4 linked regions of the Caenorhabditis elegans genome follow. The protein of the gene in region 2 purifies or fractionates together with the protein of the main gene of each other region. This does not show direct contact. Each region holds a gene or a part of one and is shown on either strand. Other genes may lie near its edges.

Evidence for each region.
Region 1: the proteins of ttr-50 (region 2) and rskn-2 fractionate together in Caenorhabditis elegans (co-fractionation; one large-scale study listed by BioGRID). This does not show direct contact.
Region 3: the proteins of ttr-50 (region 2) and sti-1 fractionate together in Caenorhabditis elegans (co-fractionation; one large-scale study listed by BioGRID). This does not show direct contact.
Region 4: the proteins of ttr-50 (region 2) and trxr-2 fractionate together in Caenorhabditis elegans (co-fractionation; one large-scale study listed by BioGRID). This does not show direct contact.

What each region holds. Positions count from the first base shown.
Region 1 is NC_003279.8:8,010,450-8,021,216, forward strand, and holds rskn-2 (Ribosomal protein S6 kinase), read left to right. Parts: upstream 1-3,960; 5' UTR 3,961-4,018; coding exon 4,019-4,183; intron 4,184-4,453; coding exon 4,454-4,851; intron 4,852-5,231; coding exon 5,232-5,378; intron 5,379-5,422; coding exon 5,423-5,729; intron 5,730-5,834; coding exon 5,835-6,007; intron 6,008-6,131; coding exon 6,132-6,363; intron 6,364-6,422; coding exon 6,423-6,512; intron 6,513-6,684; coding exon 6,685-6,806; intron 6,807-7,334; coding exon 7,335-7,443; intron 7,444-7,689; coding exon 7,690-7,969; intron 7,970-8,020; coding exon 8,021-8,168; intron 8,169-8,471; coding exon 8,472-8,622; 3' UTR 8,623-9,131; downstream 9,132-10,767. Other genes in the region: dod-18 (Nucleotide PPase), read right to left, coding at 9,246-9,381, 9,652-9,804, 9,848-9,951, 10,171-10,305, 10,353-10,418; C54G4.7 (AB hydrolase-1 domain-containing protein), read left to right, coding at 10,405-10,526, 10,595-10,682, 10,732-10,767. UniProt on the Caenorhabditis elegans protein: Serine/threonine kinase that may play a role in mediating the mitogen- and stress-induced effects on transcription. May repress transcription via phosphorylation of 'Ser-1' of histone H2A. May phosphorylate histone H3.
Region 2 is NC_003282.8:11,637,532-11,643,931, reverse strand, and holds ttr-50 (Transthyretin-like family protein), read left to right. Parts: upstream 1-2,916; 5' UTR 2,917-2,934; coding exon 2,935-3,138; intron 3,139-3,193; coding exon 3,194-3,631; 3' UTR 3,632-3,885; downstream 3,886-6,400. Other genes in the region: ZK809.1 (Tyrosine-protein phosphatase domain-containing protein), read right to left, coding at 294-301, 345-549, 597-1,094, 1,147-1,717, 1,772-1,776; rbm-17 (Splicing factor 45), read right to left, coding at 3,931-4,095, 4,148-4,960, 5,420-5,502, 5,559-5,613; F58B3.6 (Interferon-related developmental regulator N-terminal domain-containing protein), read right to left, coding at 5,926-6,006, 6,064-6,400.
Region 3 is NC_003283.11:770,849-777,570, forward strand, and holds sti-1 (Stress-induced-phosphoprotein 1), read left to right. Parts: upstream 1-2,669; 5' UTR 2,670-2,742; coding exon 2,743-2,754; intron 2,755-2,808; coding exon 2,809-2,935; intron 2,936-2,989; coding exon 2,990-3,472; intron 3,473-3,526; coding exon 3,527-3,867; 3' UTR 3,868-3,927; downstream 3,928-6,722. Other genes in the region: str-238 (Seven TM Receptor), read left to right, coding at 989-1,126, 1,171-1,625, 1,670-1,737; srbc-58 (Serpentine Receptor, class BC (Class B-like)), read left to right, coding at 4,147-4,321, 5,253-5,608, 5,985-6,086, 6,182-6,424. UniProt on the Caenorhabditis elegans protein: Plays a role in gonad development. Up-regulates longevity and thermotolerance. Binds daf-21/hsp90 and inhibits its ATPase activity.
Region 4 is NC_003281.10:8,912,114-8,920,370, reverse strand, and holds trxr-2 (putative glutathione reductase 2), read right to left. Parts: upstream 6,603-8,257; 5' UTR 6,591-6,602; coding exon 6,330-6,590; intron 6,282-6,329; coding exon 6,145-6,281; intron 6,099-6,144; coding exon 6,014-6,098; intron 5,665-6,013; coding exon 5,128-5,664; intron 5,078-5,127; coding exon 4,735-5,077; intron 4,167-4,734; coding exon 4,018-4,166; 3' UTR 3,912-4,017; downstream 1-3,911. Other genes in the region: ZK637.15 (uncharacterized protein), read right to left, coding at 103-261; M-phase inducer phosphatase cdc-25.3, read left to right, coding at 2,476-2,576, 2,624-2,993, 3,388-3,867; tpk-1 (thiamine pyrophosphokinase 1), read right to left, coding at 6,934-7,073, 7,123-7,234, 7,279-7,510, 7,920-8,000, 8,055-8,221.

The sequences.
Region 1 (10,767 bases), on a different chromosome or scaffold from region 2:
TTTCTAAATTTACAAAAATGTGCGAGAAAGAGAGAGAGAGAGAGGGGGGGGAGAGAGAAATATAGATAAAAAGAACGGTGTGTTGAAAAAAGATGAAACCTGTTGCCAAAGGGCGCCCATTTGGTCGTCAAGTGTTGATGAGACGAAGAAAAATGATGACGATGTGCTATGTTTGGCCACCTTTCTCATCAAGCCTTTTGTTCCAGAAATGTACTTTTACAATCATTCACTTTTTGAAATTACTTTTTCTGGAGATTTTTGGAGAGCTAGGAAATTTGAACTCTCAAAACTTTACATTATGTAATTAAGGAATTTGTTTGTTTTTTAAAAAGATATTGTGAGTCGTTTTGATACGCCGAGACTGGGGGCGCTTCTCCTCGCCTCTTCACTCGCCCAACTCGCGCCCGAACTTTTAACTCATGTGAACCTTGTGTTGTATTGTGTTCATATTTTATTTGCATAAAAATCAGTAACGTGAAATTAAAATTAAATAATGCGGTTCAAGAATCTAAAAAAAAACACGAACGTATTAACTGACTTAGGATTGAGATCATCCTCGGTTTTGTTAATTTCATTTGCTCCGATTTTCATGAGATTTGTTGCATGACGTATTCATGCAGCTATTTTCTTGTTTTTCCCTTCAAACTGCTAATTTTTTTTTAAATTCAATCAGAAATTTTTGCAATAGGTTCGCTATTTTTGAATCGGAATTTTTGTCCCTTTTCAAAATTAATTGTGTATTTTTCTTTTTCTTTTTTTTTGATAGATACAAATTTTCAAATAGTAGTTTTCTAGTTTGCGGGCATATATTTTCCAAAATCAGAAGCTTGTAGGAACTTGTATGATTCATGATTTGTTGTGACCTTGGTCTATAATTCATGAATAATATTATTATTATTTTGTTCTTGTTCTGCCATAATAATCACATTTCCCAAACACTTGATTTTTCAAAATCCTTTTTTGTGCTCAATCGTAATTACTGATCCTGCTTTTTCACTCATTTCTCTAATCTTTATATTTCATTTCTCCAAAAAATGTGTCTGAGTCTCTACTATAAACCATTAATCTCTCACTATTCTTTTTCTTTTCGTTTCTCTCTTCAATGCCATTGAAGCGGGGAAAAACCGACGACGACACACACCACACACACACAAACAACACATTGCATAGGCTATATCAAAAAATTATTAAAAATGTTCTTTTTTTTTTGATTCTTATAAAATATTTGTGATTCTTTCCCATGTAAAATTCCGTTTGAACTTAATTAGTGTTATCTAAAATGGTCTCTGATCTTTGATAGTGTCTCTTCAAAAAGAGGGTTGTACGGCAAATGTTCTCTTTTCGATATGGTTGTTTTAGATAAAAAATTAATATAATGTAGAATAATATTTAGTCAATTTGAACACAATTCTTGTTTTGATTGAATTTTTTTAAAAGTATCTAAAGACTGAAAGTTAGTCACTGCTGAAAAAATGGGTCAAAGTTTTGGCAAGTTTCGGTAGTTGGGCTCTATTTCAAACAAAATTTAGGATTATTTCCAGAGAGTTTTCGAATTTTTCAAATTGCTTTTGCTTTCATAAGTTTGCTTATTGCAGAGAAATCAGCAATTTTGTAGATTTTCCGCACACCCTAAATATCAGGTTCGACAAATTTTAAATGTTCTATTTTCAGCAACACGTTTGGATCAATTCTTCATCTCTCATTTGAACAAAAAATTTATTTTTCATCCTAAAATCTAATTTCAACAAAATAACTATCGTTTTTTTCCTTCCAGATGAATTACTAATTTCACTCTAGTTTTTGCAGAATTTTTGCACTTTCAGTTAATTCATTCATATTAAATTGATCTCTATAATTGCAAATGTCATTTTCTAATCATAATCCCATTAATTTCTGAAACTTGATTACGTAGAATGCATAAACTTTAAGTTGGCAGTCCAAATACACATGCAAATGTAAATTCGACCCTTTCTCGCCCATCTGCATTTTTCATTTGAGGTCATTTTACTTTTGTGACCAACTTTGTGTTCTCTGTGGTCTTTTACTCTTTTTTCGTGATGATAATTATAGTTATAGCAAAAAAAACAATTATTGTGACAAGCTGTGTCCAACGTTTTTCATAAATGTTCCTATAACTTTTGCTCCTGGGGTTCGGAAAGTAATCAAATATTTTTAAATATGATTTGTGTGTGAACTCTAGAAAACTTTTAAATTATGCTGTCAGATGCAGAATTTTCATTGACTAGCAAAAACACAAGTCGAATGCAAACTTGATTTTAACTCTAAAAAATAGTATGAAGAATTTTTTCTATTCACTTTTCCATCGTGGGTGCAAAACGGCAAAACAACCAAGATGTGGGCGGAACCATTACACCCTTTTAAAAAATAAAACTAATTTTGGTGAATATTTTAAAATAGATTCGAAAATATTTTGAAAAATACAAAACATTAAAAGATAAATGTATTACTTTTCTGAAAAAATTCCGATGAAAACAACTAATGAACTTGTTTTCATTTTGAGCTTTTCAGTTTCAAGTATTAAGATTTGAAATTCCTAGTTTTAATTTCTGGCCAGTGAACTTTTCTTTCATATTTCGTTTGATGTTTAGTGTATCACTGGTTTTTTTGCAAAATGTTTATTTCTAATTGATTTGAGTTTCTTTAAAAGCAGAAGTGATTAATTTAGGTTATTTTAAAAGCTTCAAGATATTTATTCTTAATATTTATCGCTAGAAACTAAATTTATACAGGCCCCATCATTCCTCTCGTTAATATTTTGTTGATTAGCTTGGTTAGTTTTCTCTTCGTTAGACGAATTCCCCAAATCTAGGTACCTAGAAGCAGTAGAAGTGTTGTTTTGATATTTCCTGTTTATATCTTCCATTTCTCTTACTTCTCACTCTTCTCATTCCTCTAACTTCTGCTTGTTGTGTTCTTGTGTTCCATTTGATTCTGCTCTTGCTCACCGGAGCCACGGCAGCAAATGCAACAAAAGAAAGGAAGAAAAAACGAAGCACACACGCAAAACACATGGCATATTTTCACTTTTGCATCGTTGTCTCTTTCTCTTTCCTTCTTCATCTTCCTTCTTCTTGCTTATGGCTCATGACACCACACCACTTGTGCTCTCTTGGCAGGAAAGCCTGAGCTCACAACTTCTTCAAGTTTTCAGAATATTGTTGGATGGAGAGAAAAGGGAAAGGGGATTTCTGAAAATGATCGGAGGTGAATAGAGTTGGTCAACAAATCTTTCTTTCTCTAGAAGACTTTTCATTTTGTTTTTTATTCTGTTTGCTATGTTGTCCTCTTTTTTGTGCTGTGCTTCTTCTTTTTCTTCCTCTCCTTCTTGTTCTCAACCTTCCAAGCGGTAATGGATTTCTCGTTTTCATTTCCTTTTCTGCAAGATTCATGTGATAATTTCTGTTTTTCCATGTCTCTTTTTTTCGCAGTCTTCATTCCAAATTTTGTATAATCTTCTGATTTCTTTTATTAAAGCCTAAGATCTCAAAACTTAAAACTCAAGATCTTCCTAATGACTTTGTCTTGTGAAATTCTATTATTTGTCATCATTCTCTTGATACTCAGTTATTAGAACTCTTATAGTTAGCCAATTTGTGAGTCATCCTCTAAACATGAATAAATTTGAAAATATTGTCATAATTTCGAAGTTTTCATGGATTTATTTAGATTAATCTTTTAAAGATTGAAAATATTTTGACAAGCTCCTTTAAGTTCGAATTTCAGAAGAATGCAAAATTACTTTTTTTTTGGAAAATTAAACAACTACTAGATTTAGTTTTGAAAACTAATATGTAAATTATTAGATCTGCAAAAATTGAGTTTGTTTTTTCAATATTTTGTTTTCACTCTATTCTCTTCTGCTCAGTCGATTTCACTTATAACCTTGTTATGCCTACGTGCATATTTGCAAAACCTCATTTCGTGCAATTTTTATTTTTCAGGTGATTAAACCCGAAGAACACAAAAAATAGGCAGAAGGCATACATATATAGAAAAAATGGAAGATATATTGATGCCTGAAGGAGAGAAAGTTTCCATGGAGAACTTTGCTCTCCTCAGAGTTCTTGGAAAAGGAGCATATGGAAAAGTATTCCTTGTGCGAAAAGTTGGTGGAAAGGATCATAATACTATATATGCTATGAAAGTGTTGAGAAAGACCAGAGTGAGTTATTTTTGGAAAAGAAATGAATTTAAAAATAATAATTTCTCATTTATACGGTGCTGAACCTTTGTATTATTATTTGTTTTTTCATCTCTCGCCAAGAGCGAAAAAACCGACAATTGCCGGAATTCATATTCTTGAAATGGTTTTGAACTTTTCGAAACAAATAACTGGATTGAAAAATTTTTGAGAGATGGGAAAGTGAGGTGAAATAAAGTTTATAGATTAGTATTTTAATATGAAACGAAAAAAAAACAAATTTGATTGCAGGTGCTCACAAAACAAAAAACCCTGGAGCACACAATGGCAGAGCGTCAAGTACTTGAACGTCTACGTGGAACACCATTTCTTGTCAATTTGTTCTATGCTTTCCAAACTGATACCAAATTGCACATTGTAATGGAATATGTGAGAGGAGGAGAATTATTCACACATCTTTGCTCGAGAGGTCATTTTGATTTAGAAGCTGCTAGATTTGTAATTGCTGAACTTGTGGTTGCAATTGATAGTCTTCATCAAAGAAAAGTTATTTATCGAGATTTGAAGCTTGAGAATATTTTATTGGACGAAGAAGGACACGTTAAGTTGACAGATTTTGGATTAAGTAAATTGTTTCTACCCGGAGAGTTGGATAGAGCCAATTCATATTGTGGAACTATTGAATATATGTGAGTTTTGAAATTTCCAGCCAAAGTTTAGGCACACTGCCAAACGTATTTGGAATTAAAAAAAAAAAGAACTTATCAAACCTCAGAATTATTTGCATGTCAATAATTTAAACATGATTAGAATATACAATTCGTAGTTTTTGATGTAGTTCCAAAATTAGGATTAACAAAAACTGGGTAATTGCTACTTTTTGGTTGTATATTAAAAGGTATCATTTTTTGTTGAAAATTATTGATCATTGATATTTGATTATTGAGCTATTGAATTTTTTCATTGAGATTTTCATATAATTCTTTACAAACGAAAATTGGCACAGACGGCTGTGTAAAAGTAATTTCTGAATAGATAAGAAATAAATTCTCAAGTTTAATGATTCCAGGTCGCCAGAAGTAATCAATCGCCCTGAAGGAGGATACAGTGATGTTGTCGATTGGTGGTCTTTGGGTGTAATTTCATTTGAATTGCTCACTGGATGCTCACCATTTACTGTAGATGGAGCACAAAACTCTAGTAAAGATATTGCCAAGTAAATCATTTCCTCATTTTCTTTATAATTTCTTCGAGTTTTAGACGAATTATGACAAAGAAGGTCCCTTTCCCAAAAACTATGGATGTTGATGCTCGCGATTTCATCGGCCAATTGTTGGAAAAGAAACTTGAAAAACGTCTCGGATACAATGGAGTTGATGAAATTAAAAATCATAAATTTATGTCAAGTATTGACTGGGATGCAGCTGTTAAGCGTACATTGAAGCCAGTGATTGTTCCAAGAATTGGACATGATTTGGATACACAGTTCTTCTCAGCTGAATTCACTTCTCAGCCACCATTATATTCTCCTGCAGAGTCACCATTAAATGCTAATACTCTGTTTAGAGTGAGTTTTTTCTTAACTTGGCAGGCACCGATTGCCGGATTTTGAGCCGAATTCCGAAATATGTTTGACAAAAATAAATTTCCAGAAGAAATTATGTGATTACAGGGATACTCATATGTCTCCCCATCTGTTATATTTGCCAATGACAATGTTATCGGTGAAGAACTAATGGCTGAAGATGTCAATGCACTTCTCGCGAGTTCTTCATTTTTTGCCAAGTACAAACTAGACAAGTCGGACGCTGGTCTTTTAGGAAAAGGAGCTTTTTCGGTGGTCAGGTAAATTTTTATATTTTCATCAACATTTCATGTGCTGGAACTATTTTCTAGATTCGAAAATCTCGAAAAAGTTCAACAAAACGTTATTTTTACATAGTTTTAAAGATAAAATATACAAATTCAGACGATGCGAACGCGTAGTTGACGGAGCCCAGTTTGCAGTCAAAATCGTATCACAAAAGTTCGCAAGTCAGGCTCAACGTGAAGCACGAATTCTTGAAATGGTTCAAGGACATCCGAATATTGTTCAACTTCATGATGTACATTCGGATCCTCTTCATTTTTATCTCGTCATGGAGATTCTGACTGGAAATGAGCTGCTCGAGAGAATTCGAAAATTGGAACGATTTACAGAGGTTAGAATTCTTTTAAGCATTTCTTTAATTCGGAGTTACTCTGAAAATTAAATTTTTAGAGTGAAGCAGCAGACATCATGCGGCAGTTGGTATCAGCTGTGAAATATCTTCATGATAAAAGAATTGTTCATCGAGATTTGAAACCAGAGGTGAGTTTCAATGATCAGATTATGTTAAGTGGCTGCAAAATAATACAAAACATAAGAATAAAATACTTCCAAAAAGTGAAACAAATTAATAATTAAAGGTGGAGTATACTCGAGTAGTTAGAAAATTATGACGCAATTTTTAAAAAAACGGGCACAGTTATTCTTATTCCAGAATATTCTATTTGAAAGTATCGATTCAAGTGCCCGCCTTCGTCTAGTCGATTTTGGATTTGCACGTCTACTTCCAAATTCAATGGAACAACAACTGAAGTCTGTTCAAGTTCTGCGCAAGATGTACGGTCTCATCGCACACAATCATTCACTCCACTCGGAGTAACATTTAGTCTAGTCAAAAGTTATTGTGTTTTGTCTTTTTTCACTCATTATTGGGCATATTTTTGTTTTTTTTTCTTAACTGGGAGCATGTGTCTCAAGCTGAAAATTTAAAAGAACAAATGTTCGAAAAAAGTTACTTTTGGTAGAGAGGAAGACGGTGGTGTGTGATGTTTCGTGCATTCTTGTTACAGATTATCTTCTTTTTCTATCCTTTTAAACCTTTCTTTTCACTTATCTCTACTAAGGGTTTCTTTCTTGATTTCAGAGATTTTTGAAGAAACACACTCATTCTCTGACTCTCACTTGATTTTCAAGACAAAGCTGTTTACTAACAATTCACAAACACTCACATTAAGTTTCTCAAATTTTCTGTAAACTTGAGAGTTAGAGAATGCCCAATTCATCTTTGAATAACGTTTGTTTTCACTAATAGCTTCTATATATTTGCCTAACTCTCACTATGAAATTCTTCAATCATAATTACAGGACCCCCTGCTTCACACTACAGTATGCTGCTCCAGAAGTTTTAGATGTTGGAGATTCTCAACCAGAATACAACGAACAATGTGATTTATGGTCACTTGGAGTTGTACTGGTTAGTTGTATAATTTTGTAATAATTTAATGTTTCAAAAATCGAAGTAAAAATTTTGAGAAAAAACAAAAAGACCCCTCAAATTTAAGAAACGATTGATAATCGATAAAAATCACGAAATGGAAGCATGCAACTACAGTACCACATCGTGAAAAATTTTTTGGACGCATTGAGAACCCTGGTTATTAGAAATTCATAAGAAATATTTTAAATTGTGTGGCACATTTTCTACGAATAAATTTTTCAGTTCACAATGCTATCGGGTCAAGTTCCATTCCATGCACGTTCTCGTCAAGAATCGGCAACTGAAATAATGCAGAGAATTTGTAGAGCAGAATTCTCATTCACAGGAGACGCATGGACAAACGTGTCAGCAGATGCTAAGAATTTAATAACCGGTCTTCTTACTGTGGATCCAAAGAAACGTCTTTCAATGCAAGAGCTTACAGCTCATATGTGGCTCAAGTCTTCGGCTTCAATGGATACACCACTTCAAACTCCTAGTATTCTGCCATCATCAGCAGGTAGTTAAACTGATGTTATTGAAAATTGAATAACCTAATCTTTTGACTTTTCAGATGAAACATTCAATGAGACACTGCGCGCATTCCTCCACGCTAATCGTGATGGATTCCATCTTCTCGATGTTGCTGCTGCTCCTCTCATGAAACGACGCGGAATCAAAAGACAATCTGGGGACAAGGATGCTTCTGGAAACTCGAAAAAGTGAGTTCAAGAACCCTAATATTTGAAACTCCTCCAATTTGGGGTACGGTTTCAAAGTGCACAAGAAACACCACATTTGACGACATTTCTCTAAAATTTTATTTTTTAGTTTTTAAGTTTGCAAATAATTGTAAATTCCTTATTTTATACTATTTAGAACGTCTATTCAAATATTATATTTATGAAATTATTAATAATAATTATTTTCTAAAAAAATATGATACTTCTAATTTTGATCGCATTGTGAACATTTTCGTTTCTGAAAATATACTTTCATTTTCAACAATTTATGTCATTTTCCAGTTCGCGAGTTACCCAATTCGAGTGTCTTCCGGAAGAACAAGAAGCAGAGATGACATCATCAACATCCCGTCCAAGCAATTTGGGAATGATGAACTATCGAGAACCAAATTCTGGAACAATCCGAGAAACTCGTGGCTCAGACTCCTCCTAGACCTTTTTCTTTGTTTCTTTTAATTTTTCTTCCTTTCTGTTCCTGTTTCTCTCACTGTTTGCGTTGTGATTCTTTCGTCCTAGATGCTTTCTAGTCTGTACTCTCTCATTATTCTCACTATTTTACAAATTTTCCGTCACCTGACACTTGTGGCATTGCCTTCTCTATGAGTACAGTTGCTGAAATGTTCATTGAACCTGTAGTGATTGTCATTTGTTAGATATTTCGCATTTCTAGTCAATCCTCTACCAATTTTGAAAAATATTGTGATTCGTGCATTTCATTTTATGTTATTATATCTAGTCTCATGTAAATTTCTAATTTTTTATAATCATTTTGTTAGATACACATATCTTTATTCATCCACCTATCCCCATGTAATCTTTTCATTGTCTCCAGTGACTCCCTGAACTCTTGAACCATTTCCAGAAATTCTTCCATGTTTTGCGATGAGCATGATTGACTTGCCAATCGACTTTTTGAAAGATTAATAAAATTAAGTAATTCGTTTTACATATTTATTTTGGAGAAGGTTTGAAAGCTCCGAATCATAATATCGATTGAAGCATCAACGTGAAAACCTGATGTAATGTGAGAAAATAAAATATGGAAGTGAAAGCATTTTAGAGAATATTTTTAGCGATAAGAGCTTGGTGAAGACGGTGAAGTGGCAAACCAACCACATTCGGCATACATCCTTCGATTCCACGAACGAAGACAGCGCCAAAGTCACCGATTCCATATGAACCTGCTTTTTTCCTGAAATTTCGATTTACTAGGTCAGTTATTCGTGTTTTTTTATTGGAGTTTTCAAATGTCGTGATGAAAATGATGAAAAACGTGATGAAAATTTTAAAAATCCCTCAAGTTTTGCAGCTCTTTCAAATACTCATAAAATGTTCAAAATTTCTTGACCGCCAATTTTTCTTTCATTTTTATGACTTTAGATAAGAAATTCAATTCCAAAAATTTTGATAACTTTCAATCAATAAATATTTCCATAACTTTTTTTTGCTAAAAAAAACTAACAATGGCTCTCCGCTTTTTACATATTCGTCGATAACTCTATCAGGAATATCTCCAAAATGAACAATTGTTTTCTCGATGATCTCTTCATATTGATCAGTTTCATGATAGTGTAGAGCCATTCCAGTATATACATTATGAGTATTGTTACGAAGTCTGAAATTAATTTATACAATTATGATGTTGAAAATTTAATTACCTTTTCAAAGTTTCTTTAGCGTCATTGGCATCTGTTGGTTTTCCAATAATTTCTCCATTGAATTCGATTACTGTATCACACGCAATAATAACAGAGTACGGCTCCTTAATAATTCATATATTAATATAATATCTCAGTTTTTATAATTTCAATTTTAGATTTTAAAAATATGGTAGCAGGTCTCGATATGCTGCAGCACTCTGAAATTTTGCGCAAAAAGTTTTAGGTCGCGTCGAGAAATGTTGCCGTATTTTTTTTGTTGAATTCCGATTTGTTTTTCAACTAATAACTATATTCTCAAGTTACTGAAAAAATAACTATACCTCTTTTCTTTTCATTTCTTCCACAATAGTCGTCAATTTTCCTTTAGCTGTTTCAATGACAAACTGCTTAACTGGCAATGTTTTTGGTAGATTTTCCTCGAAATTTGAAACTTTTACGATTACATTTTCCAATCCCTGAAACCGAAATAAATCTTTCTTTTTGTAGATTCTCATTTTCTCACAATTTGCTGCAACAATTTGAGTCGATTTGGTGACTGACTTGCCAATACAATAATGGCTTCTTTCATTCCGAACTTGCCGTCGTGGGCGAAACACGTGGATCTGAAATTTCGATCGGCTCTTGTGCTCAGTCAATTATTCACAAAAAGTTGGGGACATCCGGATGTAATTAAACAGTACGTTTTGTTTTAATTGAGAAATTGAGAAACTAATAGATAATTAATTATTGTTATTATTATTTTAGAATGGCAAAATATCGCAGAGATGTCATGTCAAAGAGGCTTGTGATGGATTATGTGAAAGAACTTAATCCCAAAATCGACATTGTGAAGGTAAATTTTAATTTCTCAAAAACATTTTTCAATAATAAATAATTCTCAGAAATATTCAAAAAATGGCGTAACTTCATACGAGGGA
Region 2 (6,400 bases):
TTTTAATTAATAATACTGGATCAACATATCACAATAGCTTGTTTTGTAAAATCGCCGAAAATAATTTCATCCCTCAACTCAATTCAAAAAGTGAAGTGGGCAAAACTAAATTGTTCAAACAGCAGGTACTGGATGAGATTTCTTGAAATAGACGGTAGGCAGGCAGGCACGAACGAATGAAGGAGAAATGCACATAAAACGAAATAATTGAAGAAAACTAATTTATTTGTCGAAAATAAACCGAAGGCGAGTGTTCAATTGAGGAGTGTTGTAGTCGAGTACTGCCGTCACCATCAAAGTTCTGAAATTCAAAAATAATGAATTAATGACCCTGTTATGCATACCTTCAGTTGGTGTCTTCATCATCGAACCAGGAAGGGAGCGTGTTGCTTTCTCGTTAAACTTCTTGATCTTTGAAACGACTTCATGACCAGATGGGAGCTTTGTTTTGATCAGCCAGTTGGTTGCCATGTACAGTGATACATATTGGATGTATGAGTCAACGGACTGGGGGCGTTGCTCACGGATCGTGCGAACGATTTCGCTTATCTGAAAATAATGTTCAGTATTTATGAAAACTATAGGAAAAAGTATACCTTTGGCTCCTTTCCTCTAGTCAACTGATCCTCAACAACTGCCAACGTAAGAAGCGCAGCATTCCGTCCAGAACCATTCACAGAAGCAATGACAGTTGGTGAGTTTCCGTTCTCATTCTTAGCAATTTGATGGGCTGCGCGGATTTGTGCACCGAATCGATCAGGTCCAAACAAAGGCTTCCAGTATGTATGAAGATACACACTACACATGACAGCATTCGAGCAACCTTCTGGAAGAAGTTCAACGACAAACATGTCTGCTTTCGCATTTTCCTTCTTCTCAACTTTGCGGGTGTTGACGAAAAATCCGTTGGCATAGAGCCATGCTCCCGATTCCTGACAGAACAGCTTGTCGATTGCTGGGTTGGTGAGTTCTTCTGGTCTTGCAATAATATGCACCGTTTGGCATTGCTCATGGAACACGACACGCCAAAATTCCTCTACTGCATCGACTGAATCCATTTTCGGAAGTTGAACAAGATATATCGATGGAGTGAACTGAAAAATAAACGGTTTTAGGTACTTATTGCCTTCAAGTATCTAGACTCACGTGTGGCACATTTATCTTAGATCCATTGATATAATCGTCCTTGCACATCTGAACAATAATCCGGTTGTGATCGTAGCATTTGTAGTCGGTATGACGATTTCGACTGGAGTGCGATTGCCACATTTTGCATCGGTTTGGACAGGAAGCTTCTGTATCTCGTCGTACTCCTCCTTCAGATTGATTGAACCTAAGTTCTTTAAATTTGATGGAAGCATCTTCTCCTGACCATTTCTCCTTTTCTTTTTTCTTTGGCTTCTCCTTCTCCTTCTCTTCAGTCACAGTTCTATCGTATGCAGTGCTAATTGACAACATACTCTTCTTCACAGTAATCGGAACTGTAGTTTCAGTCGTTGAAGCCTTCTTATCAACTATGACTGATGCTTTACTCGGAACCTTCTTTGCAACGACATTCTTCGTTTTCCCTCCATGAACAACCGTCTTCTCTTCATATTTTGTTTTTCCTCCATGAACTGCAGTTTTCTCTTCATAACGAGATTCAGGCTCTCTTCTCTTGTTGTTGTTACTCGATTTTGATGTGCTAGGTGATTTTTTTCCGACACCATTTTTATTTCTGAAATTGGAAAATTTAAATGGTGAACTCTTAATCGGTCTAAAAAGAACTTACGGCATTTTTAAATCAAGCTGGCGATTTTCGCTACTTTTGGAAATTTAAAGAATAGGAATGACAGAATACAACGCGAAATGGCAAATATGGAGAGACGTGGATTTTTTTGAATAAAAAAATATTAGAAAAAAGGAACAAATGACAGTTTCACGTAATACACCTAATGAATTTCGATTAAAAATATTATATTTTTGAATGTTTATTTTATATGAATTCTAGTGCCTCTATATTTGCGCCTTCGCGCCTACCTGCCTTCAAGACAATCCGCTTTATAAATCGTGCGTGTCAAACTTCATGCGATACGAACAATGTTTAATTGAACTTGTGCAAATTCTGCGAACACTAAACTGGAGTTCATACTGAAATAGGCGCGTGCAGGCGATAGGTAGGAATTTATGTAGGCAGGCTCGAGGTGAAGTTTCCATAAATTCCTTTTTTAAGTATATATATGATCAGATCTTATGGCAATTGTCTTGTAGCTTAATTTCAAAGATTATTTTGTCATTTATGAGCTTATTTACAATTATTCATATCAATTTTTCGGGATTTTTTTGTTGAAAAATACAATTAAATAAAGGTGATCTCAGAAAAATTCAAAATGTCACAACTCGGCCGAACCAGCTTTAAAAGCAGATACATTTTTTGGAGTGATTATCCGTAACACTATTCTATCATACCCATTTCCAACTTTCCTTGTTAGGCTTTTAATATTCGGTATATTTTACTGGGCCCCCTGATTGCTCTGGCAATCAACCTTGACAAAAATTTTATATTGAATTTCAATATATTTCCTGTTGAAAAACTACGATTTTCAGAGCATTTTTTTTCGTCTATTCAGAGAAGTTTCTATGCAAATCTAAAGTAGAAAATGTACCAACTTATATTTGACAATCCTTCCCAACTAGGTGCATTATTATCTTCGAGAGGCCATCATCATAAAATTAGCTGTAAACATTGAGTACAACATCTCAAACACCACAAGACCATATACATTTTATCTCAATTGGCCTCTTCCCACAATTGTGGGAATAGGTCAAATTCTCTGCATCTCTTATAATTTCCCACTATCTCTGAATATGAAAATGGGCGGCGCATCAGGGTCCAGCGATAAGGAGTATAAATAGAGAGATGGTACAGTTCTCTTCATCATTCTTTCAGTAATAATGAAGTCGTTTGTTTTGTTTGCTCTCTTCTCAGTCGCTGCTGCTCAATTCGGAGGTTATGGTCGTGGAAGAGGTGGACCTGGTGGTCCAGGAGGATTCGAAGGTGGACCAGCCGGAGCTGGAGGATTCCAAGGAAACGGAGCCGGAGAGCTTACCTACGAGGCGAAAGGAAGGCTTATTTGTGGATTAACTGGAGTTGATAAGGTATGGATCTAGCCTAATATATTATCTTAATTATTTTAATTTTTAAAACATTCAGGTTCGCGTTGTTCTTTGGGATCGATTCCGTGGACGTGAGAACATTATCTACGATGAAACAAACACCGATGTTGTTGGAAACTTCCGTCTTCGTGCCACACGAAATGGATTCGATGGGAACCTTATTCAACCATTCCTCACGATCTATCACGATTGCGACGATGCTTCAACTCCAGGACTCCGCAAGATGACTGTTCAACTTCCACCACAGTACACCAATCAAGGATCACTCGCTTTGAAGTCGTTCGACATTGGAACTTGGAATTTGGAGACTTCATTTGCTGGAGAAGAACTCGAGATTCAGAATGGTGGACTTGGAGGACGTCCAATCGGTGGATCATCATTCGGACAAGGAAACAGAGGACAGTTTGGAGGAAATAGAGAAATCTTTGCTCACGGAGGACGTTCTGACTTTGGAGACTCATCCATCTCTGTATAATTCAATTAAAACTTGTAACTTTTGAAATTAATTATATGAATCTCAAACCTAATACTAAATATTCAGTATTTCACTATCTTTCTACTGTATATTATCCAACAATTTGTTCAGATTTCAATAGTATCCACTCTCAAATAATATTATTCCAAATATTTGAACAGACGAAAATCCTGCAATTTTATTTCTTGGAACTGAAAAGAATTAAACGAAAATATTTTATAAACTGTTAAACAAAGTTGATAATTAAATTTGGCAATCAAATACTGAATTTTAAAAAGTCCAAGCTTGGCCAAGAGAGATCAAAATTCCCGATTGTTATAGTCGGAAACGTTTTGGAAACCAGCCGATACGGATCTTCCGCCAAAGAATCTTCCATTCATCATAACGAAGGCTTTGATAGCTTGAGCATTGTTGGTGAATTCAACAAACACCCGAACTTGGCGATCCTCTTCTTGAGACTCATCCTGCAATTTTATGTCAATTATACAATGTTTTTTCATTCGAAAAAGAGCTTACCACATGAACAATCACATTCACAACTTGTCCACATTTTTCCATTTCTTCTTTTATCTCATCAGCAAATTCTTTTTTGCCTTCTTCACCCGAAACTTCCGATAAATCCGTCAGATTCCATAATTGAAGAATCTTCGTTGCATTTTGTACTGCTTCCATCGAATTAGTGGCGAACGTCGGAGCCTTTGGAGCTTCAGCAACAATATTTCCACCACGAACTCCAGTTTTCTCAATTGATAAAGCAGTACTCATTCCTTGTTCGGATTTTCCAAGTCCTGCACCTTCCTTATATCCATGTCTTTTCATAATATTTGCAGCAATTCCGAGTCCTCTGCTCGTAGCTTTACCAAAAGCAGGAAGAAATGAAGGTGGTGGCATAAATGAAGAATGTGGCTTCTCATCCTGGTTTTCATTTGTATTTTTAATCACTTCCGGTTCGGGTTCCATGAGCATTGTCGGTGGAGCAATAGCAGCTCCTTTCGATCGTTTTTTATCTTCTTCTTCATGTTCACGTTGTAACCGTTTCGCCACTTCTCTAGCAGTTTTTTCTCGTTGTTTCCTGTCATTTATCTCTTTTGCAACGACTTCATAGTTATTGGGTGTCATTGGATAATATTCACATTTGACATGCTCTTCTCCGAATAGCATAACACTTTCATCGGTGGCAGCTTTTGGAAGAAAACTGATATTGTCGGAAACTGGATTTGCACGAATAGGTTGGAAGGATTTCGATGTTACTGCAGTTGTAATCGTTCGATTTCGAGTCGAAAGATCGATGACTGGAGGTGGTGCCGATGATTTCACTAGTTTTTGTCTCTGAAAATATTTTTGTTTTTTAACTATTCCAATAAAAAATATTATTCAATATGCAGACTTTGTTACCCAGACCCAAAAATACGGAACCCGGTCTCGGCACGACAAATTTGAATTACAAAACAAAACGGTGTGCCCCTTTAAACAGTACTGTAATTTTTTTAATCGATTTTTCAATTTTTGTCATAATTTGTAAAAATTCATGAATTTTTATTGAAATTTTCGAGTTTTTGATATGATTTTTATTTAATTGTAAAACTAGACATTCCTATATATAACAATTGGTTAAAATTTCACAGCAACGAGTTTAAAGTTTTTTTTTGTTGCATTTTTCAAACTTTTGTCATGTCACGAACGGGTACTTTTACCGCAAAAATCGAAAAATTCGCGTCTGGGAATAGAAAACTATCTTTTTGTTCTTTTTGTTAATTTTTCTAATTTCAGTGCAAATATGATACTCACCGCTGCTTGTTGCTGCAACGCTGCTTTTCGTTGAGCCAGCTGAGATTGCATGAACGCCATCTGGATATTATGCATTGGTTTGGCTGAAAATTTATTTTAATAAGGTACACATTTTAACATCCTAAAATAAATGTTTTACCTTGTTTAGCTGCTGGCGGTCCTTGAGGAACATCGTCTTCATCATCATTGTACATTTTCTGTGATTTTTAGTTTTCAATATTTCATTTTTCTTTATTCATGCATACATGCATGCCAATATATTTTTCAGTCCTACTACTGCTAAACTAAAGTAAAAATTTGAAAATTAATCTCTTGATACTTTATTAGATCAGCAATATAATCATAATTGAAAGAGGAAACATGCGGACAGTGAATTGAAAAAGAAAACAGGGATGCTAGCGAAAGTGACTAACAATGAAAAAAGAATACAAATGCCTGTAACAACAAGGTGAACAAATTAGAAACGAGATATCATGTACAATTTAGTTCTTTAAAAGAAAATTTCATTAATAAACTGTCGATCTCTTGTCGCGTTGTTTCCCCCGAACTTGGTTGCGATGTTTATCGGCTGCTTCATGAACGGCAAGCTGAAATGAATTGTATTTATAATTCAGTACTCAAAAAATAAAATTAAAATTGCTTACTCTGCTCTGTTTATTAGCTGATTCAGCTGGCTCCAATGCAATCGGTCCCAAGTCGAACACATCACGGAGCACCTCATTGTGCAATAGTTGCTGAGCAAGACCTCCGTGAAGCAAATCGCATGTTGTGTCGTAGAAAATTTTGATGGCGCACGAGTCCAGTGAGAGTGTCTGCTGTCCAATTTTGACATTCACCTCTGGCGCATCATCTTCATCAGCAATAAATGCTCTTATATCTCTGACTGCGTATCGCTGAGCCCTTTTGTCTTTTTTAGTTTTTTTCTTCGAGCTATCATTCACCATTTGATCGAGAAGACTGAGTACATGCTCTTTATTCGGA
Region 3 (6,722 bases), on a different chromosome or scaffold from region 2:
ATGTCTTTTTGCAGCGATCATGCCCGTGGTTTGTATCGAACAAAACACGACGGCCAGAATCCACCAAAAATTGTGCTGCCAAAGCGTCCCATCATCGATTGCACACAATTCTACAAGAGCAGCGAGGATATCGATGAGGAGCAAGTTCCATCAACTTCGAACTTTCAATCATCTTCGAACTCTCTATCAACTTCGAAATCTGCTGGAAGGGAAAATATCCCAGACTCCCCATAAATTCACTAGTTCTCCTGTTTTCTGATACTTTCGAAACTTGTTTTTTTGTTTTTTTTTCCATTTTTCGTTAAATGTTTTTTTTCTGTTGTTTTTTCATTTTGTTTCATTTTCATAATAAATCGTGTTATTTTTTATGGTTTTATAAAAGTTTAATCCAATATGAAAGCAAAACTAGCTAGCAAGAAAGCATAACTACGTAGCAAAACATCACCGCTAATCAGCGGAAAAGCACAATTACTGCGGTTGACTAAGCCGTGACATAAATGCTAATTAGCAGTGATTTTCTATCGCTCTGCCGTGACTCCAGTCTATCTGAGGGGTACTGTAGGGGTACTGTAAGGGTACTGTAGTTTAGGAAAAATTGACTTTTCGTGTTTAGGAAGAATATTGGCTTGGGGTTAGACTGTCGCAGTACTGTAGAGGTAGTGTAGGATTACTGTAGTCTTGGAATATCTGACTTTTCGTTTTTTGAGAGGATATTGGTTTGGATTTAGTGGGGTTAGATGGTCGCAGTACTGTAAGGGTACTGTAGGATTACTATAGTTTAGAAAAAATTCACTGAAGTTTAAAGGAAAAGTCGTGGTGAGACCTATCATGGCTAAAGCCATTCGTTTTGGCGGGAATTCAAATTTTCTGACTATGAGAAAAAATTTTGGCAAGAAATTCAATTTCTGAGAAAATAAAACTTTCTAGAAAAATTTTGAAAATTGTGGAATTAATATAATAAAAATTTTAAAACGTTAACCTTTTTCAGCCATTCATTTCTTAAAACAAAATCACTCCGAAAAACGTTGATCTGGCTCTTGATTCCTGTTATCTACGGTTTCCTCTGGGCAGTCAATTTATATTGTACACTATGGGTCAACACGGATACTGAACAGATATTACAGGGGTGAGTAAAATGAAATGCTTGTTGTACTCTGTTGAACTTCTCAGGAATGGGTATTTACGCGAGAATAAGTTAAACATATCCGACGTAACATATATTGGGCCCAACTATTGGAAACTTGATGAAAATAGAAATGAAGTTATAAATTGGAGAACAATGTTGGGAATGTCTATTGCATCGACACTGATCTCGATTTCCTTCGCAATGATTGTCATTTTTGCAACTTTAAGCTACAAAGAGGTCTCCAAGCTAACCGAGCTGACTTCCCACTCCGAAAAATTCCGTTCAATTCAACTGCAACTTTTAAATTCTTTGGTGTTGCAATCACTTGTCCCGGCGTTTTTCATACAGTTGCCATCGTTCGTCCTATTTCTGGCGCCTTTTTTTCATTGTGGAAGGCCAGTGTTTGGCGAGATAATTGGTGTGACGGTTGCTCTATACCCAGTCTTGGACTCACTTCCAACAATTTTAGTGATCAAGGCTTTCCGTGAAGCAATATTTCGTGAGTAAAAGTTGCCAGCCAAATAAGTTGAGTGTATTTTCCAGATTGTTGCCCATTCACTAATAAAAATGCTACACTTCCCACATCCGTAGCACTGGTTACTATTCAATAATAATACATTCAATTTAAATGATAGAAAATGGACTGTATAACTTAATCGAAACTTGTTTTTACACTTTGCAAGAATCTGATTATTTTAAAATTTTTGTAGATCACAACGATATGGGACATTATGACACCACGAGAGAAATGTCTGAAAATTTACACACATCAAAGTATATACAATAAATCGGTCATTACGGCTCATTTTCTATCTTTTAAAGTAAACATTTTGCGTCAAGAATACGGTAGCCGGTCTCGACACGACAAGCCTTTGTCAAATGAGAAAAGGTGTGCGCCTTTAAAGAGTACTGTAATTTCGAGCTTTTGTTGGTACGGAACTTTTATCGATTTTTTTTTAGAATTTACGTGTTTTTATTTGTTTTATTCAAGTCTTTTTATTAAATAATAACAGTTGAGACGAAAATATGAAAACTCGATGAAAATTCCACAACAACAAGAGTTTGACGCTACAGTAATCTTTAAAGGAGCACACCCGATTACATTAAACAAAAATAGTCGCGTCCAGACCTGGTACCATATTTTTGACCAAAAATATTCATTATTCCGCGAATTAATGATAACAAAAGTCAGAATTTTGTTTAGTTTCGGGAAAATTCGGAGCAAAATTCAGAAAAATTCAAAATTTGACTCGATGCTCGTTATTTTCCGGAGTATCTGTATTTTTATCGTGAAATCCAGTTCACATTGGGTATTCCGGGCGCCTTTACTTTTCTTTTTTAAATTTCCTAATCAATTTCTATATTTTTATGTATAAAAATCGATCTAAAACGAAACGGGTATTATTTAAAATTCAAGCGTCTCCCGCCAAGCGATTATTTTCTCTGCGTCTCTCTCCTTCGCACACTCTCTGCCTCGCTCGCTCAATAGAGCGCGTTTGCCATTGGCAAATTTTCTCGAAGAATTCCTCATTTTCTCGATTCATTTCCTTCTTTTCATCGTTTCTGCTCACTTTTATCTCATTTTTTTTTCAGATTTTTTCAATATTTCGGCAAAAATGACGGACGCCGTAAGTTTTTCAACAATTAATCAATAAAATTCAACTAAAATTCCCTATTTTCAGGCGATTGCTGAAAAAGATCTCGGAAATGCTGCCTACAAGCAAAAGGACTTTGAAAAAGCTCATGTTCACTACGACAAAGCGATCGAGCTTGATCCTAGTAATATTACCTTCTACAACAACAAAGCCGGTAGGTTTTTATTTAAAAAAAACTGTAGATTTTCCCTAATTTTCCGAATTTCAGCCGTCTATTTCGAGGAGAAAAAATTCGCGGAATGTGTGCAATTCTGCGAGAAAGCCGTCGAAGTTGGACGCGAGACCCGTGCCGATTACAAGCTTATCGCCAAGGCCATGTCTCGTGCCGGAAACGCTTTCCAGAAGCAGAATGACTTGAGTTTAGCCGTCCAATGGTTCCACCGCTCGCTCTCCGAGTTCAGAGACCCCGAGCTTGTCAAGAAAGTCAAGGAGCTCGAGAAGCAGTTGAAGGCGGCCGAGCGTCTTGCCTATATCAATCCAGAGCTTGCCCAGGAGGAGAAGAACAAGGGAAACGAGTATTTCAAGAAGGGCGACTATCCGACAGCGATGAGGCACTACAACGAAGCGGTGAAGCGTGATCCGGAGAACGCGATTTTGTACTCAAACCGGGCCGCGTGTCTGACGAAATTGATGGAATTCCAGAGAGCTCTTGATGATTGTGACACTTGTATTCGGCTGGACTCGAAATTTAGTACGATTTTCTAATTTTTTTGCTCAGAATTAACTAAAAATTGTATTATTTCAGTCAAGGGATACATCCGCAAAGCCGCTTGCCTCGTCGCAATGCGTGAGTGGTCGAAGGCTCAGCGAGCCTACGAAGATGCTCTCCAAGTCGACCCATCCAACGAAGAAGCCCGTGAAGGTGTGCGTAACTGTCTGCGAAGCAACGACGAGGATCCCGAGAAGGCCAAGGAGAGAAGTCTCGCCGATCCAGAAGTTCAGGAGATTCTCCGCGACCCAGGAATGCGTATGATTCTCGAGCAGATGAGCAACGACCCGGGAGCCGTGCGAGAGCACTTGAAGAATCCGGAGATCTTTCAGAAACTCATGAAGCTCCGCGACGCTGGAGTCATTCAGATGCGCTAATTATTTGATTGCTCCCGGTTTTTCACCCATTATTTGATTTTTATTTGAATTTTTCTCCCCCCCCCCCCCCCCATGGTCTGTGTTTTTTGCATCTCGCTCGTCCTCTGGACTCGTCTTCAAAATATAAAAATATATTTATCGTCGTCGCAACTAAAAGACAAACAAAATCTCATTAATTTCAGACATTTTTTTGTACTTCGCACTACAAAATTGTTCATTCGACTGGAAGCTGAACCAAAAAATTCGTCGAAAACAAAAAAGTCACAACTTCCTTCCCTTATGTCTTCTTTGGTGACGTCGGTAGCGATTTCAGCGATTTTTTTCACCGAAATCAACGTTTTTCTGAATTTCTACCTGCTTTCTCAAATATTTATACGAAAGAAAATCCAGAAAAAGCCAGAATTATCACTGATTTATTGCCGTTTTCTAATCGACGTGATTTATTCTTTCGATAGTGAGTTATTTTTAAGCGGAATCTAGGAAATTTCTCCAAATTTGCCCGATTCTGCTCGAAATCGCGAGTTTCTTTCCCCAAAACCATTTTCAAACGCGCGCCAGGGACATTCTCATTGGAGCGCGCCGCGTGTGTCGATTTACGAGAGTTCGCATTTTTCTCGAGTTTTTTGCGGAAAAAATCGAAATTTCAATGTTTGAAGCGAGAAAAAGTGATGAAAAAAAAGGAAATTCATTGAAAAAATCGGAAATCTGAAAAATAAAATTTTCTTATAACCTGAAACATGGTAAAATCTTAATGTAAGTGTTCAAATTATCAGTCATACGTAAAAAACGGAAAAATTATCGGCAATTTGCCGGTTTGTCGGAAATTTCGAATCCGGCAATTTGCCGATTTACCCGAAATTTCGATTCCGGCAATTTGCCGGTTTGCCGGAAAATTCAATTTTAGCAATCTGCCGATTTGCCGGAAATTTTCAATTCCGGCAATTTGCCGGTTTGCCGGAAATTTAAATTTCGCCAATTTGCCGATTTGCCGGAAATTTCAATTTCGGCAATTTGCCGATTTGCCGGAAATCTTCAATTCCGGCAATGTTCACGTCACATATTTCTGGCGAAAAAGTTCCCGCATTTATTGTAGATCACACCGAAATGGGACAGCCTGGCACCGGGATTCCCAGTCAGGGGTTGGCGGCAAACAACTTTTCCGGCAAACCGGCGAATTGCCGGAATTGAAAATTTCCGGTAAATCGGCCAATTGCTGGAATCGAATTTTCCGGTAAATCGGCCAATTGCCGGAATTGAAGATTTCCGGCAAACCGGCAAATTTCCGAAATTGAAGATTTCCGGCAAATCGGCAAACCGGCAAACTGCCGGAGTTGAAATTTCCGGCAAATTGGCAACAAACAAGAATTAAAAAAAAACAATTTCAGCATCAATATTTTTGATTTATTCCCTGATAAAAACGCTTTTTCCCGAGTTTTCTGTGAAAAACCTGGCATATTTCGTCGCTTGGCCCGGCTTCAACTTGGGAACTATTCGCTGCTGGATTGTATTTTTTATAACATCCGATAGAATTTTCGCAACATGCGCTCCGATTTCATATCACAATCATCGATTCAAAATTCCGCTCGCCGTGATTATCATCCTCATCTCCGCGTACACAATTCTCGAGCAATATATTTTATTCGGATATTGCGATTTTGTTCTAGACGTTCCCGCCGATTGTGCCATTTTCCGGTGTGCAATTAATATTTGCTATCACGAGTATTGGAAAACTTTTTCGCAGGTTTCAATTTGCAGTGGTGGTGCCGCACAGAAAAAGAGGCGGACACGTGGTGTCAGGCTGTCTCATTGCGGTTTGATCTACAAAAAATGCGGGAATTTTTTTCCTAGAAAAATTGTGACGTCAGCACGTTCTTAACCATACGAAATCAGTTGAGAACACTACGTATCATTCTCCCGCATTTTTTGTAGATCAAAGCGAAATGGGACTTTCTGTTTAGACGTGGGCGGAGCGGCGTTTTGCAAACTTTTTGGAGAAAACTAGAATTTGTTGCTTTTCAGGGAAAATCATATTTTCTTGCCGCAGGTTTGCAAAACGACGCTCCGCCTCTTTTTCTGTGCGGCACTGCAAAATCAGCAGCTTGATCGTTTCGTTTTAGACGATGTATTTTTGCATTGGAACGTTGACATTTATTTTATTTTTTCGACTTTTCATATGGAATCATTTTATACTACGTTCCACTAATACAGCTATTTCAAGAGTGAGTTGCACGGTCTCGACACGATAAAAAATTTTTGAAATAAAGAAATTTGTCGTGTCGAGACCGATAAAAAATTTTGAAATTATTCAATTTAGGCCACAAAAATCACGCTTCTCGACTCCTTCATCATATTTTCATTTGATCTATTCCCGGTTTTTCTCACAGCCCGATTCCCGGACATCAATTCTCGAACTGTCGGGCCGTTGAGTGCTTTATTGAAGCACATGGGCTTTGTCATTGAGTCACTGATTATCTGCAAAGTTTTGAGGAATAGCAAGCAAGTTGTGCCGGCTTCGATGAGCAGAACGACACCGAATAATGCACCGGTTATGACATAATTTGGTTTTTTTTTTCAAATAATGCTATTTAAAAATATTTTTGCCTACATGCCTACATGCCTACATGCCTACATGCCTACATTCCTACATGCCTACATGCCTACATGCCTACATGTCTACATGCCTACATGCCTATATGCCTGTCACACTAACTCTATCAAATACAAAAAACACAAACAAATTAGAGATCGCATGAAGAGACGCAGACATAAAAACAGTGCGAATTCGTAGTCAACGTAGTTGATGTGACAATGAAAAGTGTAGATTGGGTACAAAAGTGATGGGTATTTAAACAGAC
Region 4 (8,257 bases), on a different chromosome or scaffold from region 2:
ACATCGAAGTATACCAAAGCTGGGTGTACCAACGTCGATTGTACTATCTTCTTCGTCGATCAGAACCGATTTACCAGAGAAAGGTCCCATTAATTTTCATACCTTCAACTGCTGGACGTCCTCCATACGTCGAGCCTCTCTAATCAGCTTCTCGTTGTCCATCATTCGATTCACGTGTTTGCCACGTTGCAGCAGTGCCCGAATCGCTTGATCCAAATTGTCCATCGTTTTGACTGTACAATCGCAATTCACGCATTCCATCCTTTTCGCTTGCTTCGAATTTTGAAAGGTAAGGAATAATTGATTTCTGGTTTTGAATTGTTGTTTTGATTTTTTTTCATTCAACTTTTAAAAAATTAGGCTACACGTTTAAATGTTCAATAAACTTTCCATTTATGAAGTATTAATTATTTGAGTTAAAATTTTTGCGAAATGTCCAAAAAGTGATAATGTCTGGAATATTTGGGTCTGAAGAAAGACTTTTAAAGCTTTTAAAAACTTAGAATATTCTAGAAACTTTTTGGAAAAGGCCGATTTTCTTGTTCGTTTTGAGAGAATTTACAAAAAATATAAAAATTTCCAAAAAAATATAATGATTAATTTTCAGTAATAAATGTCAAAATATTTTGATTTTTGAGTTTCCATCCTCACACAACCCCAATTTACTATTTTCTCCACTTCGTCTGCCACTCGAAAACTACTGCCATTATTGTTGTTTATCAATTTACAGACCGTCAAAGTCGCAAAAACAAGAACTAAGGATTATTCATGGAAAATCCCAATGATTATTCGCAATAACATTCAAATATGCACTGCACAACGGGATCCCGATTTGGCAGAGTGCCAAAATCCAGAATAACCACTGCCAGTTTTTGATTCGCAGGTGGTTGGTAATGGGCTCGCATCTTCTGAATTAATAAAAGAAGAAAGACTGAAAAGAAAGAGAGTATACCCACAATGAGACGAGTGTGGAGATGGGAGAAAATATGAGAAGACTACACTACACCTTAGACATCTTAAATCTATATCTGGATGAGAATGTACAGAGCTGTATACCGGAAAAGAGTTAGTTGTAAATGTGGGAAAATTGTAAAAGTGTTCTCTAATCTTCAAAATCATTGTTGCTCTATTGATTTTTTTGTTCTGTAGGTAGTTTGAATAAATCTTATTTTCAATTGTATTAAACAGTGATTCGAAATTCAAATGACTCGAAGAATAATATAAAAACTGTTTTAGAAGTAGAGTAGCGACAGTTGGAAAATAGTTTTCAAAAAAGAAGCACCCCTTTACATGGGCCAAATGGTGCCTGAACCATCCAAATAAAACTTTACAAAATATTAATGAGACAGTGAAAAATGGAAATTTTGCTGGATTACCCGCATATTTGACATTAATTTCTAAGAACCTTAGGTTCCGTTATCCCAGTAGGAACACTGTAGAATACTGTAGCCAAATATGAAATACCCTAAACTAGTATCACTACTGTTATTTTAATAGTTTGTCGCGTATAATTTGACAACAGAAGATTTAAGTTTCTCAAAAAATAACTCGGCATTTTGATTTTTGTCAATTTATCAAGTCGACATTGATTGAAAAATACTAATTGAAAGTTTGACTATTCGTTTTTATGAAAGTGTATTTTGTACAATAAACGTAGAAAGCTGTTGGAAGAACGAACACCTTGTTGAAGTGATTTTGATTTTAAAAGTTTATCAAAAATTTAGGAGCTTTCAATAGTTTCATAGAATGTATTTTTCACCAAAGGAATGGTTATAAAAAATTTCACTCTTGAAATACCAATGGTTCTTTCTGATCTAGATATGTTAAGAGTCAGTCAAGAACCTGGAAGCCGGTTTCGTTTCCTTTTATAGGTGGAAATTTTCTTTTTCCAATTTTTTCTTTTCCAATTTTTTAAAAATTATTATGGTATCCATCAAATTAATGATTTTCAATTGTTTTGCCCACAAGCCATATTCTACACCTTATACCAAAAATTTTATTTAAAATTGTTCAAAGTTAAATACAATTAGAGACAATTCTCACCGTTTCTTCCCAGAATCAAAACTTCCCAGTCGAATCTACTCATATTCTCTTTGTCTAATTCCCGCTCTAAAGGTGAAAACAATCGTAGGTCAAATTCTCACTCCCGGAAATAGGTGCACATCGCCACACTAACACGACACCTTGGCACACAATTGCGAGATCAATTGTCTTCCCAGGAGAACGGCCCGCCCCATTTTATATAGGTTATATCGATCTCGAGGGGGACCATATAAAAGGGGAGGGTCCATGATCATTGCGCGCTAAAATAATGTTTTATTTTATTGAGTGTTCATTAGGGTTTTCTACTGATCCCATTCCAATTCATATTAAACTAGACTAGTCAGTCTCTCTTTTTTCATTTAGTCTTCAAATCCATTCTATTGCATTCTTTCATTCAGGTATACCTAGTTCAGTCTAGCTCCAAGTCTCCTGATGTGCGTTGACGTTCCATGTGAAAACTGCATTGTTCGCAATGACGGGCTCCGGCTGAAATGTTCTGAATGTGCTGAAGGATCCTCGAAGCTATTCCCAAGGTTAGTTGATTATTTGTGTTCGATATCAATAAATCCATAATTTACAGACAAAACCGTCAACACTCTTCTGCGATCAGCCACATCTCCAACTCATCGCCACCCACTCGGAAACGAAGCATTGATGGAGGATATACATCTGGAACGGATTCTGCGAATACTTCTGAAATTGTGATAAAGAAAAGACTAACTTTCTCAAAAAAGAGCCATTCAACTTCGGAAATTGAGACATGGAATGCCCATCTTCAAGTGGATTATCATTTGGAAACCGTGACGCCTAGCTGTTCTACCGTATACCAAAAAATCACTTCTGAAACGTTAATTGAAATCATGCAGAAGCTATCGCAAATTGAGTTTATGCAGAAATATATTCTAATTGATTGCCGATATGATTATGAATATAATGGAGGGCATATTAAGGTTAGTTTTTGCCGTTTGTACTACGTTTCCAGACTCCAAAGTCTTAGTGTGTACCTTTAAGTTTACAGTAACCCTCGTAATTTATATTCTCTCTTCGTGTCCGTGTATCATTTTAGTTTTTCAATAAATAGACTCTTTCGAGAGAAAATGCCATATGAGAATGGGATACTGTACTTCTTAAAACTCGTACTTAAAGAATCATGAGTCCGTTCTAATGGGTTCTGTCAAAAACAGAAAACACATTTAATTTTAGAATTAATAAAAAATCTACTTTCCTTCGTGGCAAGACCCTTCCAAACCAAATCATGCGCCTTTAAGTGTGCGTTTCAGAAAAAAGAATTATAATAACTGTTTTGAAAAAATACCAGAAAGTTAAAACTGCAAATCTTTTCAGGGAGCTCAAAGCCTGTTCAATCCAGAAACTGCTGCAGACTTCTTCTTCAACAAAGATGGTTCCAAGAAAATCAACCGGATACCCATTTTCTACTGTGAATACAGTCAAAAACGTGGACCAACCATGGCGAACAACCTTCGGGAAGTGGACAGAAAACTGAATTCAAATATCTATCCGAGATGTGATTATGAGGAGATTTATTTGTTGGAAGGAGGTTATAAAAACTTTTACGCTTTCACGCGGGGATTAGAGAAGGAACAAAGAGTACAACTCTGTGAGCCAGATAATTATGTAATCATGTTTGATGATCGTTATAAGGCTGAGCTTCGGAAGCACCAGTTCCATAAGAAGAATGTTTCGAAGCCAATGAAGAAATGGAGTTCAACAACATCTGTGATATCTATTCTAACAACTTCTGGAACTCGTATTTCGACACTTCGTCAGACATGTGATCCCATCCATGAGCACGATGCGCATTAAGAATATGTAGTTCCCGGTATCTTTTAAAAAGGATAATCAAATATTTTGTACTATTTATTATGTTTAATTATAATTACTAGTATCCAGGATAATAGGATGTAAATTAACTTTGATAAATAAACTGAATGATTTGTCAATAAACTTTTTGAATTATCCACAGCATCCCTGAGTTCTTGGGTCTTGTCCAGATCGTTTTGTAATGTGAAGCTTCACGAACTCTTCAGAAGAACATGGATGAATGGCAATTGTGTTTTGAAGATCAGACATTGAAATTCCAACACGGAATGCTACTGCGTAGCCTGAAATAATTTAGTGCAATCGGTTAGCTTTTAAAGTTTTCGTATCTTGATCGATTATCGAGGTTGTTAGTATTACCTACCCGCAGAATATTGTGAGTTGATTGCCAAAAGTACGGTACCTGAACTTGACACGATAAAATTTTTTCGCGCCTGTAAAGAATACTGTAGTTTCAGACTCTCGATTCTGCAGAAATTTTGTAGATTTTTAAAGCTTTTTGATAAAAATTTATTAATTGTCTCAAGTTGTGATTAAATCTTTAAAAAATCGATAAAAATTCTACAGCAGCGAAAGTTTAAATTTTCAGTATTATTTAAAGGTGCACACTTTCTTTGCATTAAAAATTGTCGTATCAAGCCGTATTTTTGGCGCAAAAATAGCAGAATTTTGCGTATGTGTAATATTATTCATTCAATAAAGAAAAAGATAAAAAATTCAAAATAACAGATTTAGCACGTAAGTTTTTGCGAACAGATTATGGTTTTTCGAACATTGTTCCAAAATTGAAGGTGTTCAGAAAACATTTTCGTGACGGGCGGGGCGGACTATTTCTCTTTTTGAATCAATTACCTTGAATTACTTCTGCGGCATTTGGTCCAACAAAATGAAGACCAAGAATTTTCTGCGATTCATCTCTTGTACACACGGCTTTCACATAACAAAAACCGCTATCCTTATTCTGTGGCACAACATACTCAAACGGAGTAAAATGAGAATGAAACACTTCGATCGAATCTTCTCCATGTTTCTGAATGGCTTCTTCCTCAGTTAACCCGACGGTTGAGAGTTCAAGAGGCGTGAATACTGTAGTGGCAACTCCATCGAATCGAACTATTTGTTTGGAATTTGAAAAAAGACGATCAGCTAGAAGTTTTCCGGATTGAATAGCAAGTGGCGTGAGCTCTTGGCGATCCTGAATACTATCATTTTTATTTTAAAAAAATGTTACTTTTTTTATCGTACCTGAACAATATCTCCAACGGCATATACACCATTACAGGAAGCTCTATCAAATTCATCTGCTAGAATCTTCCCAGATCTCTTATCAGTCCTCACTCCAGCATTATCCAAATTCAAACTTTTCAAATTTGGAACTCTACCAGCCGCCCAAATAACTGTATCATATTCTTCAACACCACCATTTCCAGTGAATGTAACCTTCTTCTTACTGCCAACTGCTTCTACACGTTCTACTTCCACGTGTTCCTTAACTTTCACTCCAGTTGTTTTCAGATGCTCCATGACAAAATGCACACAATCTCTATCAAAACCCTTCAAAGGAATTGATCTCACAAGAACTTCAACATTTTGATTGAATGCAGAAAGAAATCCAGCACATTCCAATGCAACATATCCTCCACCAACAATCAAAGTTTTTCCGGGAACTGATGCCAGTGTAAAAAGATCGTCTGAAGTGATTCCAAGTTCAGCACCAGGAATATTTGGATATTTGGGACGGAGTCCTGTTGAGATGACTACATTCGGTGCGGAAAGAAAATTCTGAAAATCTAGGATGAAATTTTTTAATTTTCCGTTTCCTAGCAATATTATTATTACCTAAAGTTTGCGCCAAAAATGCGGTACCAGGTCTCGACGCGACAAATTTTTGTCAAATGCGAAAAGTTGTGCCTTTAACGAGTACTGTCATCTCAAACATTTGTTGCTACGGAATTTTTATAGATTATTTTTATAGATTTTATCACAACTTGTTAGAATAAATTATGTTTTTTCGGAAAACTATATTGTCGTGTCGAGACCTGATACCGTATTCTCCTCCGAAAAGCCGCAAAACTTTTGGGTATACGGAACAAATTTTTTAAAACTTCTTTTTTCATTTTTCCAAACGTACCTTGGTTTTATTTTTGTCTGTACCAGTTATCACAATCTTGTCTTTATCCACAAACTCGGCATAGGCATTGAAGTAATTGATTTTTCTAAATTTCATAAAAATAAAAATTTCCACAAAATTAAAAAAAATACTTCTGATTTAATTGAACTCTATAAATCCAATTGTTTGCTTTTACTCGATCATTCACATTCTTTGACAACACATTCCAATCATGTTTGATTTTCTCTTGATCTATGCCATTCCAGCCATATTTGTCTGCGTGTTTTAGCTGGAATTTTGAATTTAGTGCTCTAAATATTTATAATATTATTCCTGCCTCTTTCCCGACGATTGCTGCTTGGTGCATTAACTTTTTAGGAATGCATCCGACATTTGCACAAGTTCCTCCGATTCCCCATGAATGTCCATGTGGAGTTGGCTCAACTGCATCAATTAATGCCACGTTTGCTCCAAGATCAGCTGCTCTTTTAGAACAAGAAAGTCCTCCAGATCCTGCTCCAATTACAATCAGATCAAATTTATTTGATGAGAAGAGACGCCTGATTGGTAGATGTCGTTTGAAAGTGGATAGAAGCATCAGAAAATTGATCTACAAATGATTTAAAGTTGAATTTCAATTTTCATTAGATTTTTGAAATCGCTATCGGATATTCGCAGATAATTCATTAGAATTGGATATTTTTTAAACAAATAACATTGCTTTTAAAATGAAAATTTTAATCTCATACTATTAATTCGTTTTTATTTTTATTAATTCGTTTTCAACACAAAATGGTACAGGGAATAAAGTGTATTATAATATTGTAGATAATTATATAGTACCGGTGAAAACTAGGAAAAATGGAATAAAAAGAAAATAGAACAGTTGAATAGCAAAGGAATGAAAAGTTGTGAATTAAGAGGGACCATAAAATGTGATACTATAGAGAATCAAGTTTGTAGACCCAATTTTCAAGTTCAATTGAAAAAATCAGAGACGACGAAGATTTCAAAAATACTTGGCTCGTGGTAACTTCATTCGACGTGCTGATAAGTTTTCCAAATTCAAGAGCAAGGTTTTCTGAAATGGAAACGTTTAATAGAAATGATGTTGAAACATTGGATTATACCCATTTCATATTTTAGTCCAATTGAACTGACGATTGTCTCCTTTTGAACAATTGGAATGATTCCACACATTTTTGTTGTCATTTCAAGATTGACATCAAGATTTGAATCCCCCTGAATTTAACTCTTAATGTTCACATAGGCCTGCCAAGGATTACTGTAGGAACAGCGAGAACCAAATTTCTAGAATCCAAAACGATCACAGGAGTTTGAGAATCAACGAATCTTATTAAAGATGATAACGTTGACATGGTGTGATCAAATCGTCCATTGAGACCTCCTAGAACAACGATATTCTCGAATTCCCAGCTTGTTAGTGTTTTCTGCTCTAAGCACCACTGAACGCTCTTCGAGAGATCTGTGTAGTCTTGATCAGGCAGATGGACGACTCTAAAACAACATTAAGAACAATTTTCGACAAAATATTTTTATTTTTTTAGTCCTGAACACAGAATGAATAACATTTAGTTGGCAAGCCAGAAATACCAAAAAAAGTGCAAAATCATTATTATGACCTGGTCAATACACTCTTCTCAACGAATTGTAGCTTTCAGTCTTCCAGTATTAAAAACACAACTCAATAATATTTTAATTTTATTTTCAACGTTCACGCCTATATATTCTTTTAGCTAATATTCAACAGCCGCTACAGTAATAATTCTTTGTGATCACTACAGTAACCCTACAGTAATTCTATCATTGCTCATTAATAGAAGATGTTATCAAACATGAAACACGATTACAATGAAGTTGAGTAATGCCTATATTAATTTTTAATTTCAGTAGAATTTAAACTAACTTTGCATTTTTTGTATCAATCTGTTTATTTATTGAATCGAAATCTCCGCAGATAATATGAGGCCATTCGACGAAACTCTTTCTGAAATCCAAAACTCGGTTTACGATAATTTTCAATTTCTGGATCCTAGATCACCTTTTAAGAATCTCATTAACAGCTCCATCAGTTGCAACTCGATATTTGGCCTTATTCCATAAATTTTCAGCGCGATTGCTGATTGCCGTAGGTTCACCGTTAAGCCAAATACATACTGATGCACACGAATCCTCTAAAATTTCGAATGGCTTCAATTTCTTTGACATTTCTCTGCAAAATTTTTATTTTTTGTAAGCTTCCAC